Lytechinus pictus: one gene and its partner. The protein of the gene in region 2 purifies or fractionates together with the protein of the main gene of each other region. This does not show direct contact. Links are inferred from orthologs where the notes say so. Each region holds a gene or a part of one and is shown on either strand. Other genes may lie near its edges.

What was found. Proteins that work in one complex are often made in the same cells at the same time.
Region 1: the proteins of F-actin-capping protein subunit beta-like (region 2) and CCR4-NOT transcription complex subunit 2-like purify together in Homo sapiens (co-immunoprecipitation; 4 studies listed by BioGRID and IntAct, with this or other methods). This does not show direct contact. The link is inferred for Lytechinus pictus from reciprocal best matches to the Homo sapiens genes CAPZB and CNOT2.

The regions. Positions count from the first base shown.
Region 1 is NC_087263.1:5,245,362-5,252,605, forward strand, and holds the start of CCR4-NOT transcription complex subunit 2-like, read right to left. Parts: upstream 3,036-7,244; 5' UTR 3,005-3,035; coding exon 2,986-3,004; intron 1-2,985. UniProt on the Homo sapiens protein: Component of the CCR4-NOT complex which is one of the major cellular mRNA deadenylases and is linked to various cellular processes including bulk mRNA degradation, miRNA-mediated repression, translational repression during translational initiation and general transcription regulation.
Region 2 is NC_087258.1:11,166,504-11,173,549, forward strand, and holds the start of F-actin-capping protein subunit beta-like, read right to left. Parts: upstream 3,001-7,046; 5' UTR 2,613-3,000; coding exon 2,610-2,612; intron 1-2,609. UniProt on the Homo sapiens protein: F-actin-capping proteins bind in a Ca(2+)-independent manner to the fast growing ends of actin filaments (barbed end) thereby blocking the exchange of subunits at these ends.

The DNA of each region.
Region 1 (7,244 bases), on a different chromosome or scaffold from region 2:
CTGATGCTCTTTTGAACGATTTTGGGGTCAGTCTGTTTAGGCAAAAGGAATCCCAATCAGACCTTCATTTTTTTAGGAGCGCAATCGCGCCGGCGCTCCTAAATAAAATAAGGAGAACAAAATATCGCGCTCCTTAAAAAAAAAAAAGGTTGCTGAAATTTCACATTTTACATCTTTATATTCATAAAATAGGCATAGATTCTATTTTCCATAATTCCTTAAAATTATTTTGATTTAGTTGGAAATTACCCAAAAAATGAAGAATATTCACCTCTTTCCTGACTCTGATTTATGATGTTAAACTCGGTAAATATTGTAGTCCCATGTGTAGATTTTCATGGTTTTGACCAAGTGTATAACAATCAACGATCGTTTTCAGTTAAAGGTCAAGTCCACCTCAGAAAAATGTTAATTATGCACAACTCAGTGACAAGCAAATGAGACAGTCGATGATGTCCCTCACTCACTATTTCTTTTGTTTGTTATTGTTAGAATTATACAATATTTCATTTTTTACAGATTTGACAATAAGGACCAACTTGACTGAATCATATAATATTAAACAATGCTAATTCCACATGTTTAGGGAGGAATTAATTGTTGTTTTACTTGACAATGAGAAGAAAATTAGATTTTCATATAATAAAATACAAAAGAAATAGTGAGTGGATGACGTCATCAGTCTCCTTATTTGCATACCGAACAGGATGTGCATATACTGTTTTGTGAAATTAAGCGAAACTTTAAAATGTCATAACTTTCTTATTTTAAATCCGATTTTGATGAAATTTTCAGTGTTATACTTGTTGGCTTACAAGCATTCATGCTTTCTTAGCAATCAGGTAAAAAATCACCACCACCACCTATTTTTCTCTTTTCATTCAAATAAACTTTTTGTTTGGGTGGACTTGTCCTTTAATGTTGCAACACCACGGAAGTCTACATGTGGGACTACAATATTTACCGATTGTAACATCGTCAATCCGAGTCAATAAAGAGCTGAATATTCTTCACTTTCAACTAAATCAAAATAATTTCAAGGAATTATGGAAAACAGATGGCCATTTCATGGATTTAAAGATGTAAAATCCGAAATTTCAGCAATTTTTTGTTAGGTTTTTTTTTTAAGGAGCGCGATATTTTGTAAACCCAGGCCTAGTTTCACCACAGTTTAATTAATAGCTACACAGCTATTGCATTTACAATTTTAAAAAAAATCTGCAATTTAGCATGCATGTATTGTATTAAATTGAGCTCCTATAGGAGAGCGATTCTGAGGAGCTCAACTGAGCTCCTCGAAAAAATAAGGAGAGCGATTTATTGGGCTCCATGAATTTATAAACGTGAAGGACTGCCCAATCATCATATTTTTCATATATTCTAATCATTGGTTTTTCTATGATCTCAGGTTTAAAGCCATGAAATTTTGTGCTCGGTGATTTTGACGACCGGCAAGGTCCCCACGGCTACCTGTACAGTGATTCCACCACTCATCGACCACCTCTTTTGAAACTGATCACCTTTGGCACTTGCGCGCATTTAGATTAAATTGCATACAAACGCTACGCACAGGAAACTAGGCGCAGCATCCATAGTAATGATAAAAACCGATTTTACGGAAAAAAAGAGGGATAAAATTTTAAAAAGCTGTAGATCTCCAGGACTAGCATGACTAGCAGAGGAAGGAGAAGGTGACATCGAACTGATTCGCAAGTCAATATGTTTTGCCACCGTGACAAACTGACAAGAATCGGCTGTAAAATTAACATTAGTGTATAGCAGCTGGTCAGTCCTAAAGAAGGATGGAAATTTGAAATCTTCATGTTCGTTGGTCACTGACATCTACGGCCATGACGGCTACGTGAATAGAATCTCAGTCAGTAGAGGCGCACGGCCAATATTGGAGACTGTCTCCAATGTGGGAGATTATCTCCAATATCAGAGACTTTTGTAAAGAATTTGGGTATCCAATTTCAGAGACAGTCTCCAGTTTTGGAGACCAATTTCCTTTGTTTACATTTGCTGCAAAAGGATTACCTTGGCGGCAAATAAAAATGTGATAAGCAGATTCCTCATGAAAAATTACCCCTTTTCACCGTCTACTTTTGTTTTGATAAGGATTTTTGTTGTCAATCACACACAAAACAAATGGGCTTCTGACCTCAGTGAGACAAAATTTTGGGTGGAAAAAATCATGCTTTTGTTGGTGTTGTTTCTTTTGTCCTTTTGCAAAGCAAGTCTCCAATGTGGGAGATTGTCTCCCCTATTGGGAGAGAGTCTCCCATATTGGCCGTGCACCTCTACTGTCAGTCAGAGCAAAGCAATCTATCTATTTTTTATTTCTAAAAAAAAGGAATTTTGATCCGCTCCATTTTCTGCACATGACTTGAGATGGAAACTAGCTTAAACCAATTAGATCTAGAGTCTAAAATCTTTGTGATTAAGATTCTTAGAAGAAAATTAGGTGGTCGATAAGGGGTACGTCCAACCATAAATATTTGACAACTCCGACAAACTTTAAAAAGTTAAAATTGCAGTCGAAAGTCAACTCAAATTCAAACAAGTCGTTCATAAGTCAACGTGATTGCTGATTTTGGATCCAGATCTACAACTCTAATGCCCCAACTTCCAGTCATATGGAATTCAACTTTGAAAAATAACATCTACCTGAGATCTGTAGGTTGATTAGAAACATTTAAATCGATATTTAATCTGTAAAGACAGAGTTCAATACAGGCACGCACGTACGCATTTACTTTTTACTCACACAAATTGCAACGTATGGGACTACATTTTAGAGAATTGCATTGTAAAGAACCTACGCGACACATCAAAATCAGAACAAAATAACGAACCCATCCAATAATAATATCACACACAAGAGAGCTCAACAATAAAATTATTATTCTTAGAATCATAAAATATCACAAACACTGAATTCTAAAGCACTAAGTTTGAGAAATATCGTTTTAAACTTCAACTTACTGAGATTAAAGATTGTCATTGATATTGTACGTAATAATGGCTGCCAGTTGTAATGCGTTTAGCGCCATCATGTGGCGAGATTTGCCCAAACAAAAGCCAACATACGTGACGGTTTCCGTATTGTTTTTTAATTTATATATCATTTCATCATACTCATTAACATCATCATCATCATCACCACCACCATCATCATCATCATCATTAGCACATCATCATCACCATCATTATCACCATCATCATCTTCATCACCATCATCATCATTATCACCATCATCATCATCCTCATCATCACCATCATCATCATTATCACATCATCATCACCATCATCATCATAATCACCATCATCATCATCATCATCATCATCATCACCATCATCATCATCATCATCATTATGATTTCTTGCTTCCCTGGTATTCTTTAAAAAAAAAACAGGCCCAGATAATAATGTAGACCTACAATCATATTTTAAATTTGTTTTTCCAAATAATGATATTTCAATTGTTTGTTTATGAGCTGTGTTGATCACCGACTTTAAACAATCTTTATTGTTATTATTACTAAGATTATTATTACTGTTGTTGTTGTTATTATTATCATTATTTATTATCATTATCATCATCATTATTATCACAATTATCATCATCATCATCATTTATTATTTTCACAATAAAAATGATATCAATATCAAAATAATCATCTTCATCATCACAGCATCACCATCATCTTTTTCTTCTTCCTCCTCCTCCTTCTTTGTCAATAAATTTCATATCATCATTTTTCAATCATTAATATCAGTATAACATCATTTATGGACATAATTATGACAGACTTCACTAGGTGATTTCATACCAAATAAGTACAATTTTATTATTTTCTCTGCAATACAAATTGAATAATACCTCAGAGAAACTCTTCAAATATCTAGATTTCAATGAAAAATATATGATGAATATCCTAAATGCATGTTTGAATGTAAATAATAATCAAGATAGAGCCCAAAAACTTTTTAGCAATGCCCAGAAATTATCGTCAGTGTCCTCCAAGAAAGGACTTATGGGTAATTTAACAATGTTTTTTATTTCAAACATTAAAGAGTACGTCGAAGGCTATCCAATGATGCAAAAATTATTTCATAATTTCACGTAAAACTCAAAATATCAGTAAATTAAAAGGACCTAAAGGTGAAATAATCATAAAACTTACCCCTACTTTGGGAAATTGATGTTATATCAAATTCATTCAAAAAATAAGAAAGATATCACATGCTGTGCTTGTCATAACATGTTGATTTTTTTTAATTAAAAAAAATCAAAGAAGACTTCTAATATTTTCCTATTAAAAATTTATCAAAGCAACCATACTTTCATTTTGCTAAAATAATAAAATACTCTTACTTCTGCATCAATTTACTTCGAAGGGAGGTACATGCGGGGGTACATGGATGAAAAAAAATAATAAAACAACATTCTAAGTTAAAATGAATGTTAGAAAATGTGAGAGAATTAAGGTCTAGAACATCACTTTATGTGCTCAAATATATAACTGCACAGGATTGGCAAGAAACTAATACATACATATACCACAAATGAAACAGACAAATATGTTTGACATTAACAATAAAATACCAAAACAATGTTTTTCTTACAGAACTTTCCAAATAAACATGCAGTATATACATGTATATATGTTTTACAAAATGACAGTATATGTTTACATTACTTGCTGATAGAAAGATCAGGAATCCTGTTTACAAATAATAATCAATTGCAACTTACAAAAAGTATCAGTGACTGACAAATTCTCATAAACAAATTCCATTATCAAGAAGGGTCAAGTACTGATAGTATACAAATTATTTAGCTAATCACTCGACTTTTGGAAGATTCATGTGGGGTGGAGTAAAGAAAAACAGAGGGAGGGGTCTCATTTCAAAAGGGAAGGGTAATATCTTAAAGAAGTCACAATTCCAGCTTGGAAACTATTTATTAAAGCACAGTGCAATTTTGAATGAAATCTTGGGAAGAAAATATGCTTGGCTGCCATGCCGGATCATAAACGCTTCTACAAATAATACAATTTAGTTTATCCTATTTTTATCAATCTCATTTAGTATTGGGCAATCATGAACATAACTCGGTGGGGTAGGGTCAGAGGCCCATAATGAAGATAAATAAGAAACCAATGATTCTCTGGGGGCAGGGGATCATATCAGGGGCGGATCCAGGATTTTCCAAAAGGGGGGGGGGAAATTTTTTGGAGGAAAATTTTGACAAGCCCCCACCCCCCAAAAAAAAAAAATGGTTTTCAACCACAAATTAAGGATATTTTGTACCTGAAAAAATTTGACAAGCAAAAAGAAAAAAAAAAGGTCTTCACTTTCAAAAGGGGGGGGGGGGGGCACATCTCCGCTTCAATGGCATTTTTACATTACAAATTTTAATTTTTCTTCTCAAATGGGGGGCACGTGCCCCCCCCCCTGGATCCACGCCTGGACCATATCTTCCTGATAAAATCTTCTCTGACCAATTTTCAAGTCAATATTGAAAACTGCAAATATTTAGATCCACATGTGCACACATGTTGTATGAAGAGGATACCTATGATATATTATATGTATATATTATATGTATAAATAATATATTCTATGCATAACTTATCACAAATTGTTGGCTGGGGTCTAGAAAAAATTTGTATCTTGAGACAACACATGTTTCCTTCTCCATTAAAAACAAATTTGTAGCAGAACCAACATAATTTGAACTTGAAATGGGTTATTTTCAGACGAGAGATGAGCAAAATGCTGCACTTGGTCGCTTTCTTTCGCACACGACACGACCGACATCCCAACGTTGCTTCCAAGTAGCCATGTTTTACTGCAACAAATAACAAGTTATTTTATGCATTGATAATTCGCCAGCAAAATGCTAAAAATGCTACTCAAGATTTTACTGCTTCTGTTAGAGGGCCCATTTAGATGCTTTCATAGTCCATTCATCTGCAGTGCTTTTTGGCTTTCATCACTTTTATACTCATTAGATTTACAGTGATATGTATCCCTGCCCCATATGTAAGCAGCCACCCCAAGACCAACAAGTTGCAGGGAAGGCTCTGTATCAAATAGCCAAAATAGTAATCTAGTCTTCAAAAGAAAAAATTAGCAAACTTGCTTATCTGAAAGGGTAGTTCTTCTTCTTTTTACTACCAAAATTCGAAGTTGTAAAGTGGAATATAAAAAAAACAAGATACATGATCTTTTTTTTAACCTCTTTTGTGTACTGCTTGGAATTTTAACCGAGAATTCACAGTATGCACATTGGTTTGACTTTTTAAAAATCTGAGCTAGAAGGTCACACTTGTCACCTGTGTCTGTGATATGTTACAAAAATGAAGCCCAGAAAAAATTGCGTTCGAAAATAATTATTTAGTGCTTCAAAAATTGAAATATAAAGTGACCGAAAACACCATCTTAATTTCATCCCATACACTTATGTGTACCATTTAGGCGTCTATAAGACGCCTATTTACAAAATCGGGTTAATTGCCTTGTAGTTTTAGCTTTTCATTCTCAATAATGGTTGTTTTCAGGGTTTATTAGTTCTAATACATGCACTTGTACACATGTTTCATCTTGGTTAGAGAATTTTTTAAATCGGCTGCTTTAAGATCAAGTTTAACTTCTTTTGTATTCAAACAAGCACTTGTGAGGGTCATTGTTGATCAATTTTAACAAATTATTTATCATTTTAAAGTTTAGGATATGTTCTTTCAAGCTAATTAAAAAGAAATCCCAAGATTGATTTGGGGCAACTAATTGTTGGTTTTGAGTGGCTGGTCACAAGTTACCTTCTGGCTTTCATTACCTTTATACTCATTTGATTTGCAGTGATACAGATATCATGTACTTATTCATATAATACACTGGGTTTCATTATGTATAAATTTATTGAGTATAATTTCATACTCATTGCAGTGATATCCTTGTGTATCATATTATATACTGGCTTTCATTGTTTTTATACTCGTCTGATTTGCAGTGATATATATCATCGGAAATCATATAATATACTGGCTTTCATTACTTTTATACTCATACTTGCAGTGATATATATCCCCGGGTATATATCCTTGTTAATCATCATCATCATCATTATCATCAGTGTATGGAAGAAGAAGGCAAGCCTGTCGAGACTTCCGGTCGTTCATATAATATATGGTCTTATATACTCAATATACTTGCAGTGATATATATATATATATATA
Region 2 (7,046 bases):
AAAGTTCATTGACCCTAAATGACCTTTGACCTTGATCATGTGACCTGAAACTTGCACAGGATGTTCAGTAATACTTGATTACTATTATGTCCAAGTTTCATGAATCAGATCCATAAACTTTCAAAGTTATGATGGTAATTCAACAGATACCCCCAATTTGGCCAAAGTTCATTGACCCTAAATGACCTTTGACCTTGGTCATGTGACGTGAAACTCATGCAGGATGTTCAGTGATACTTGATTAACCTTATGTATAAGTTTCATGAACTAGGTCCATATATTTTCTAAGTTATGATGACATTTCAAAAACTTAACCTTAGGTTAAGATTTTGATGTTGATTCCCCCAACATGGTCTAAGTTCATTGACCCTAAATGACCTTTGACCTTGGTCATGTGACATGAAACTCAGGCAGGATGTTCAGTAATACTTGATTAACCTTATGGCCAAGTTTCATGAACTAGGTCCATATACTTTCTAAGTTATGCTGTCATTTCAAAAACTTAACCTCAGGTTAAGATTTGGTGTTGACGCCGCCGCCGCCGTCGCCGTCGGAAAAGCGGCGCCTATAGTCTCACTCTGCTATGCAGGTGAGACAAAAACTTCAGAGTATAAGCTTTAAAAGGACATACAATATGTTATATTTAGGCAAAGATTTAATTTTGGCTTCAGAGGGGACAATAGCTTGGACCTGCCCCTATAAACTTCTCTGAGATAATACAAAATTTTTGAAAGAGAAAAAAATTACTCAGAAGGTGAAAAAACAAAAATTCCTTTCTAACTTCACCAGGCTTGTTGCACATGTGTTGTCTGTAATATGGTGGATGGCTGTCAATAATAGCAATAAATTGAGGGCAGTATTGCATAAATTTATTTAACTTAGGCGTTAAAGAAAATTATAATGCTTCAACTTACCCCGCGTTCCAAATAACCCCGCTCTCCCCTAATAATTAAAATCGGCATTTGCACAGCTAAAATATATTATTTTATCAACAATTAAGCAATTATTTTGGGGTCTAGAGTGTGATTTAAATCGCCAAATTGATCGCGGCGCACAACTCTACGCGTCCGATATTTGGAAACTGCGTCCGATTTTCTGCAAAAAAAAGCCTCTGGTAGTAAGTAAATAATTTCCGTTTTTCGGTTTACCATAATTTTTTCGATTCTATTTTTTATGAAATTGATATTCAACATTTGTCCTACAGATATAAACATGATTTTTATTTGATTCAATGATTGTATTTTTGTTTTGGTCCAATTATGCTTAACTTAAGTGTCCGATATTTGGGCACTTTAGGCCTACTTACTAGTATAACGTTAGAATCTGTGTTCTTAATGAACATGATGAGTTACACTAGAGGCGCATCGCCAATATGGGAGACTGTCTCCCAAGAGAGAGATTATCTCCAATATCAGAGACTTTTGTAAATAATTTGGGTATCCAATTTCAGAGACAATCTCCAGTTTGGGAGACCAATTTTCTTTGTTTACATTTGCTGCAAAAGGTTTACCTCGGCGGCAAATAAAAATGTGATTGGCAGATTCCTCATGAAAAAATTACCCCTTTTCACCGTCTACTTTAAAAATTCACCGTCTACTTTTGTTTTGATAAGGATTTTTGTTGTCATCCACACACAAAACAAATGGGCTTCTGACCCACCCAAGGGTTCATTACATGCCGCCGCGCACAGAAAATTCAAGCCATAGAAGTCGTGTGTTGTGGACCCAAGAAGTGAGATCCCAGCACGCGCGACCCACTAGTTAGAAATCCACTGCCAAACGCGGTTCGTGGTGCGAGGTTAGTATACTAATACTAACCTCGCAATACGTGTGAGTGCTTCTGACCTAAGTGAGACAAAATTTTGGGTGGAAAAAATAACGCTTTTGTTGGTGTTGTTTCTTTTGTTCTTTTGCAAAGCAAGTCTCCAATATGGGAGATTGTCTCCCCTATCGGAGAGTCTCCCATATTGGCCGTGCGCCTCTACTGAGTTAAGACTTAAGTATCACTCCTCTCATAACATGCATATTAACGTGCATTCAAATCTAGTCTAATTTCATCTTCGAGATAGCAGATGAATGCTGTTTCATTTTTTTTTTGTCCTAGAATAGATCTTCTGTCATGACATTTGTCAATGATTATCAAATATATCACTTAGGCCTAGTTAATTAGCAGTATCACTATCTTATTATCAGATTCAGAAATACTGTCTTTTATTAAAAGACAGTAGGCCTATTTCTGAATCTGAAAAAGTTTTAATTTTACTGATTACTTTTTAGTTTCGTTTTTTTTTGGTCCTACCTAACATAAATAATGGTATCAAAGTATATTTGGGAGAATATACTCTTTCAGGCCATACATAATAATCATATTTTCATGAAATATTTTTCCTTAAATTGGGAATTTGTGAAGTGTCACTGTCATTTTTTTTTTACTCAGGTATGTTACCCGGTAGTCTCACCTCACCCTACAAATTTGTCAACGTGTGGGACTGACTTTACAGTAGCGACTCCAAATAACCAGCGACAAAATAACAGTTATTTCATACAATCACAAAGAACCATGGAAATAAATAAGATAAATATATTACAAGGAGTTTAAGCTTCACTTACCATCTTTTTTGTTGAATTTAGGCTCTCAGAAATAGATTATGACTCTTTGTTTTTGTTACGGTCGCCGCTCTCTTCCGTGTGAACCCTCCCAAAATGGCAGAATAAGTACATCCGGGCTTTTCAAATAGGGACGCCCTCCCAGTGGTTTTCCTTATTTGGCAAAAATACCAAAGGCCTTTGCATGAATATTCAAGACGAAACTCTACATCAGTTTTCATTGTCTTATAGAGTTTTCATTAATTTCAGACTATTTCTTCATATCTATAACAAACCATCAGCTAATAATTAATGATCAATCAAATTAAGGAAATTCCTTCAGCTATTGATGGAGAATCCCGGGAGAGAGTGAACGAATTATTTCTTATCACCCTCATTCTACCACGCATTCTACACCCGGAAGTGTTTGGCTAGAATTTATAAATCAGATAAAAATCTGTGTATACTTGATTACACCGAACGTAAATTCCCCTTATCTTCATTTAATTACCATAGTATATTAAGATAGTACCATGTAGTGATTAAGGAAATTCCACAGTTAAAATGAAATCCATATCATTTTCACCAAACTTTGCACATAATAGTGGCATAAGAAGACAAAATCCAAATCCTGTCTTGGAGAGTTGACTCGGCCAGACGGCACAACTGTGGATGATGACTTTGATAAAGCTGAGGTGTTAAATGACTTTTTTGCATCAATATTTACGCAAGAAGATACCAGTAATCTTCCTCCATTTCTTGATAGACCCTTTGACTCTACACTTAATGATATTGTCATTACAAGAGATATGGTTTTGGAAAGATTATTGATGCTGGACAAAACTAAGTCTCCAGGGCCGGACGAGATTCCAAATCGGATATTGAAAGAACTTGCAGATGAACTAGCCCAACCTCTTGCCGATCTCTTCAATGAATCCTTGAGGAGTGGTTCTGTTCCTGTAGCATGGAAGATGGCGAATGTAACTCCATTATTCAAAAGAGGAGATAAACGTAATCCCAACAATTATAGACCAGTGAGTTTAACAAGTACAATTGGCAAAGTTATGGAGCAGATTATTCGTGAAAATATTATTAATCACATGGTTACAAACCAGCTGTATAGCTCACATCAACATGGATTCAGAAAAGGCAAATCATGTGCTACTCAACTTCTGGAAGTTATTGAGGAATGGACTAAGGATTTGGATAAAGGAAAATCAATTGACTGTATATATTTGGACTACAAAAAAGCATTTGATAGCGTCCCCCATCGAAGACTTCTGCTTAAGCTTCATTCATATGGAATCAGAGGTAGTGTCTTGAATTGGATCAGATCCTTCTTAAAGAACAGAGAGCAACGGGTGGTTGTTAATGGAGTTTTCTCAAATTCTGTTAGAGTCAGTAGTGGAATTCCCCAAGGGAGTGTTATCGGTCCGGAGCTATTTCTGATTTTCATAAATGATTTACCAGATGTCCTAGCTTCTCAAGCAAGTGTTATCAAGTTATTTGCTGACGATACCAAATTATTTGCTGAAGTTAACAACGATCAAGAATGGGAAATCCTTCAAGCTGATTTACTGAGGATTCAAAGTTGGGCAATCTTATGGCAACTTCCCTTCAATACAGGAAAATGTAAAGTCCTTCACTATGGCAGAAAGAACCTGCACTATGACTATAAGTTAAGTTTGGATGGCCCGACCATCGAAGTCAGCCACAGTGAAAAGGACTTGGGTGTCATTTTCGACGATCAGCTAAGTTTTTCTCAACACATAGATCAGATAGCAAAAGCAGGAAATAAGAAGATGGGGATCATCAAGAGATCTTTCTCATTCCTTGAACCTAAGAGCTTCAAACTACTTTATAAGTCCATAGTTCGACCTGCTTTGGAGTATTGTTCACAGATTTGGCATCCATACTTGAAGAAGGATCAGGAGAAACTCGAGAGAGTTCAACGAAGAGCTACAAAAGCAGTTCCAAGTTTACAGGTCAAAAGCTACCCGGAAAGATTGGCCCAATTGAAGTTACCTTCATTATCTTACCGACGTCACAGAGCAGATCTTGTCCAAGTATTCCGAATAACTCAAGGAACTGACGATCTAGAGACTTCTAAATTCTTCAAATTCAATGAAGACTCCAGAACTAGAGGACATATATATAAGATTGAGAAACCCAGAGCAAATACTCGAAAAAGACAAAATTCTTTCTCACACCGAGTAGTATCAGAGTGGAACAACCTGCCAAATCAAGTTGTGAAGAGTACTTCCATAAACTCTTTCAAATCAAACTTAGAGAAATCTTGGAACCTCAAAAAGGAAAAGTTTAACCCTGACCAATCCTTTACTTGCCCATGTTCCCATTAATAACGTTACCTGCTGAAACCACACATCGCCATATAACCTGTACCAGTTTATCTTCCACTATAATGACTTCATGAAATCATAGAAATTGGAAGGAGGAGAGGGGCAAACAAGTTTTTTAGGTAAAACTTTACGCCCACAACAAGGTATGTTACAAGGTATGTTATATAATAAGCCAAAGTGCAAAGATGTACGTGATTATGTAATTATATATTAGACCCCCGATTAGACCTGAAAACAAGGGATCACAATGTTGATTTATTTCACCGTAAAAACACATGCAAATTCAATCAGATTTTTCAAGAATGAGAGCCGATTCTGCTGAAGATGTAGTTACTATCTATGCTAGCGATGAGCCGATGAGGTCCCCGGTTTTGGAGTTATAGCAGGATGCAAATTCACCCCCGAACACTGTCTCCTGCAAGAAATTAACGAAAAATAATTATTAATTATTTTGAAATGGGCCACCAGACTATCACCCTATGTAGTGATGTCGGCTGATATCCTATTACTGGAGAATAAATAAGGGGCGGACTTTGTGCGTTCTTCCCCAAAAAAGATCCGACCAAGCAAAAAAAGGAAAAGGAGAGAGAAAGGGAAATGATAAAGAGTGAATATTATTTTTTCGATTATAGGTCAAAATTTATCACAAAACGATATCATCTTGTCAACAGGCAATATATTTTTCGTCCGGCGCTAGAAAAAGATTTGACTAATTGCACCACTGTGGTATATCATTTTAGTTTTCTTTAATGAATCCATGTACTTCCAAAAACTCTTCAATTCGTATGATAGATAGCCATTATATGCCTCGGTGTTATTCAGTTAACGTTGAATGAAATTAATATGATAGGTATGGAGATTCAAGCCAACTCGAGGTGTATAAATAGCTAAACGTTTTATAGACCCAGTGGCGTAGCTAGGATTTTTTTCCTGGGGGGCACAGGGGTCCATGCTTTTTAATGGGGGAACATTTTTTTTCATCTGTGTGTATGTGTCACAGGGGCGGATCCAGCTTTCGACACTAGGGAGTGGGGCCTGATATTATTTTCACCCATATTTTCCCCGATCGGCCGCTCAAAGTGGATTTTTGCTTGTTTGAATTTCGGGGGTAGTTTAGTCACAGTTCCTTCTTACGGGCTTCTTAGCTTTGAAAACAACATAAATATGAAATAATCTCATAAGCCCTATATAAAAAAGTGATTTTTTTTTTTTAACTTTCATGTATTTTGTCCTTCAAATTTAACCTTCTGGGCCATGTTTGTGATCTTGAACAAGATGCGTGAAATGATTACTGCGAGCAGAAATTTTAAATTACCGTTCTGGCCTGATAAGAACTGTTTGCAGTTAGCCACAAAGACGATACATATTTCAGCAATTAAATAATGCGAGCGCGACGCTCGAGCTGACAATTTTTGATATTCCGACCTAAAAAAGGTCATTCTAAGCAATTGTAATCATAAAAGGAATAGGTATGTAACTAAACAATTGGTGCGATTCAGATTTTAGACCTGAGAAAACGGGACACTCTATTCATGTTTTGTAAATCATGAATAGGGTTGGGCATCTTCCTAATAATGCGAGCATGAAGCGCGAGCAGAAAATTATTGATATTCTGTTCTGAAACTTGATAAGTTAAGAACGTTTTATATAAAGAACAAGCTGCCTATCTCAATAAACATGCGTGCGCGTGATTTAGATTTAGCCCTAGAATCTGAGCATCGATCTGAATACATTTTTTTATCATGAAGATTAATAATGCGAGCACGAAGCGCGAGATGGAAACATTCGATATTCCGATCTGAAAAAGAGTCAATTTAAAAACTATTTCAAGCACTGTGTAGGGAAATTTTGAAGTGGATGTGAAACACACTTAATAAACATGCGAGCGCGAAGCACGAGCTGATATTTTTTATTATCATTTTGACATAGGGCCGGGACATTCTAAGGACATTTTGTCATCATAATGAAAATGATGCTTATCTTCCTATTATTCCTAAGCGCGAGATGAAACTTGTCGATATTCCATTCTGAAAAGGGGCCAATTTATTTATTAGGAATTTATGAAAATATTATTTACTCATTTATTAATCTAATATGCTTA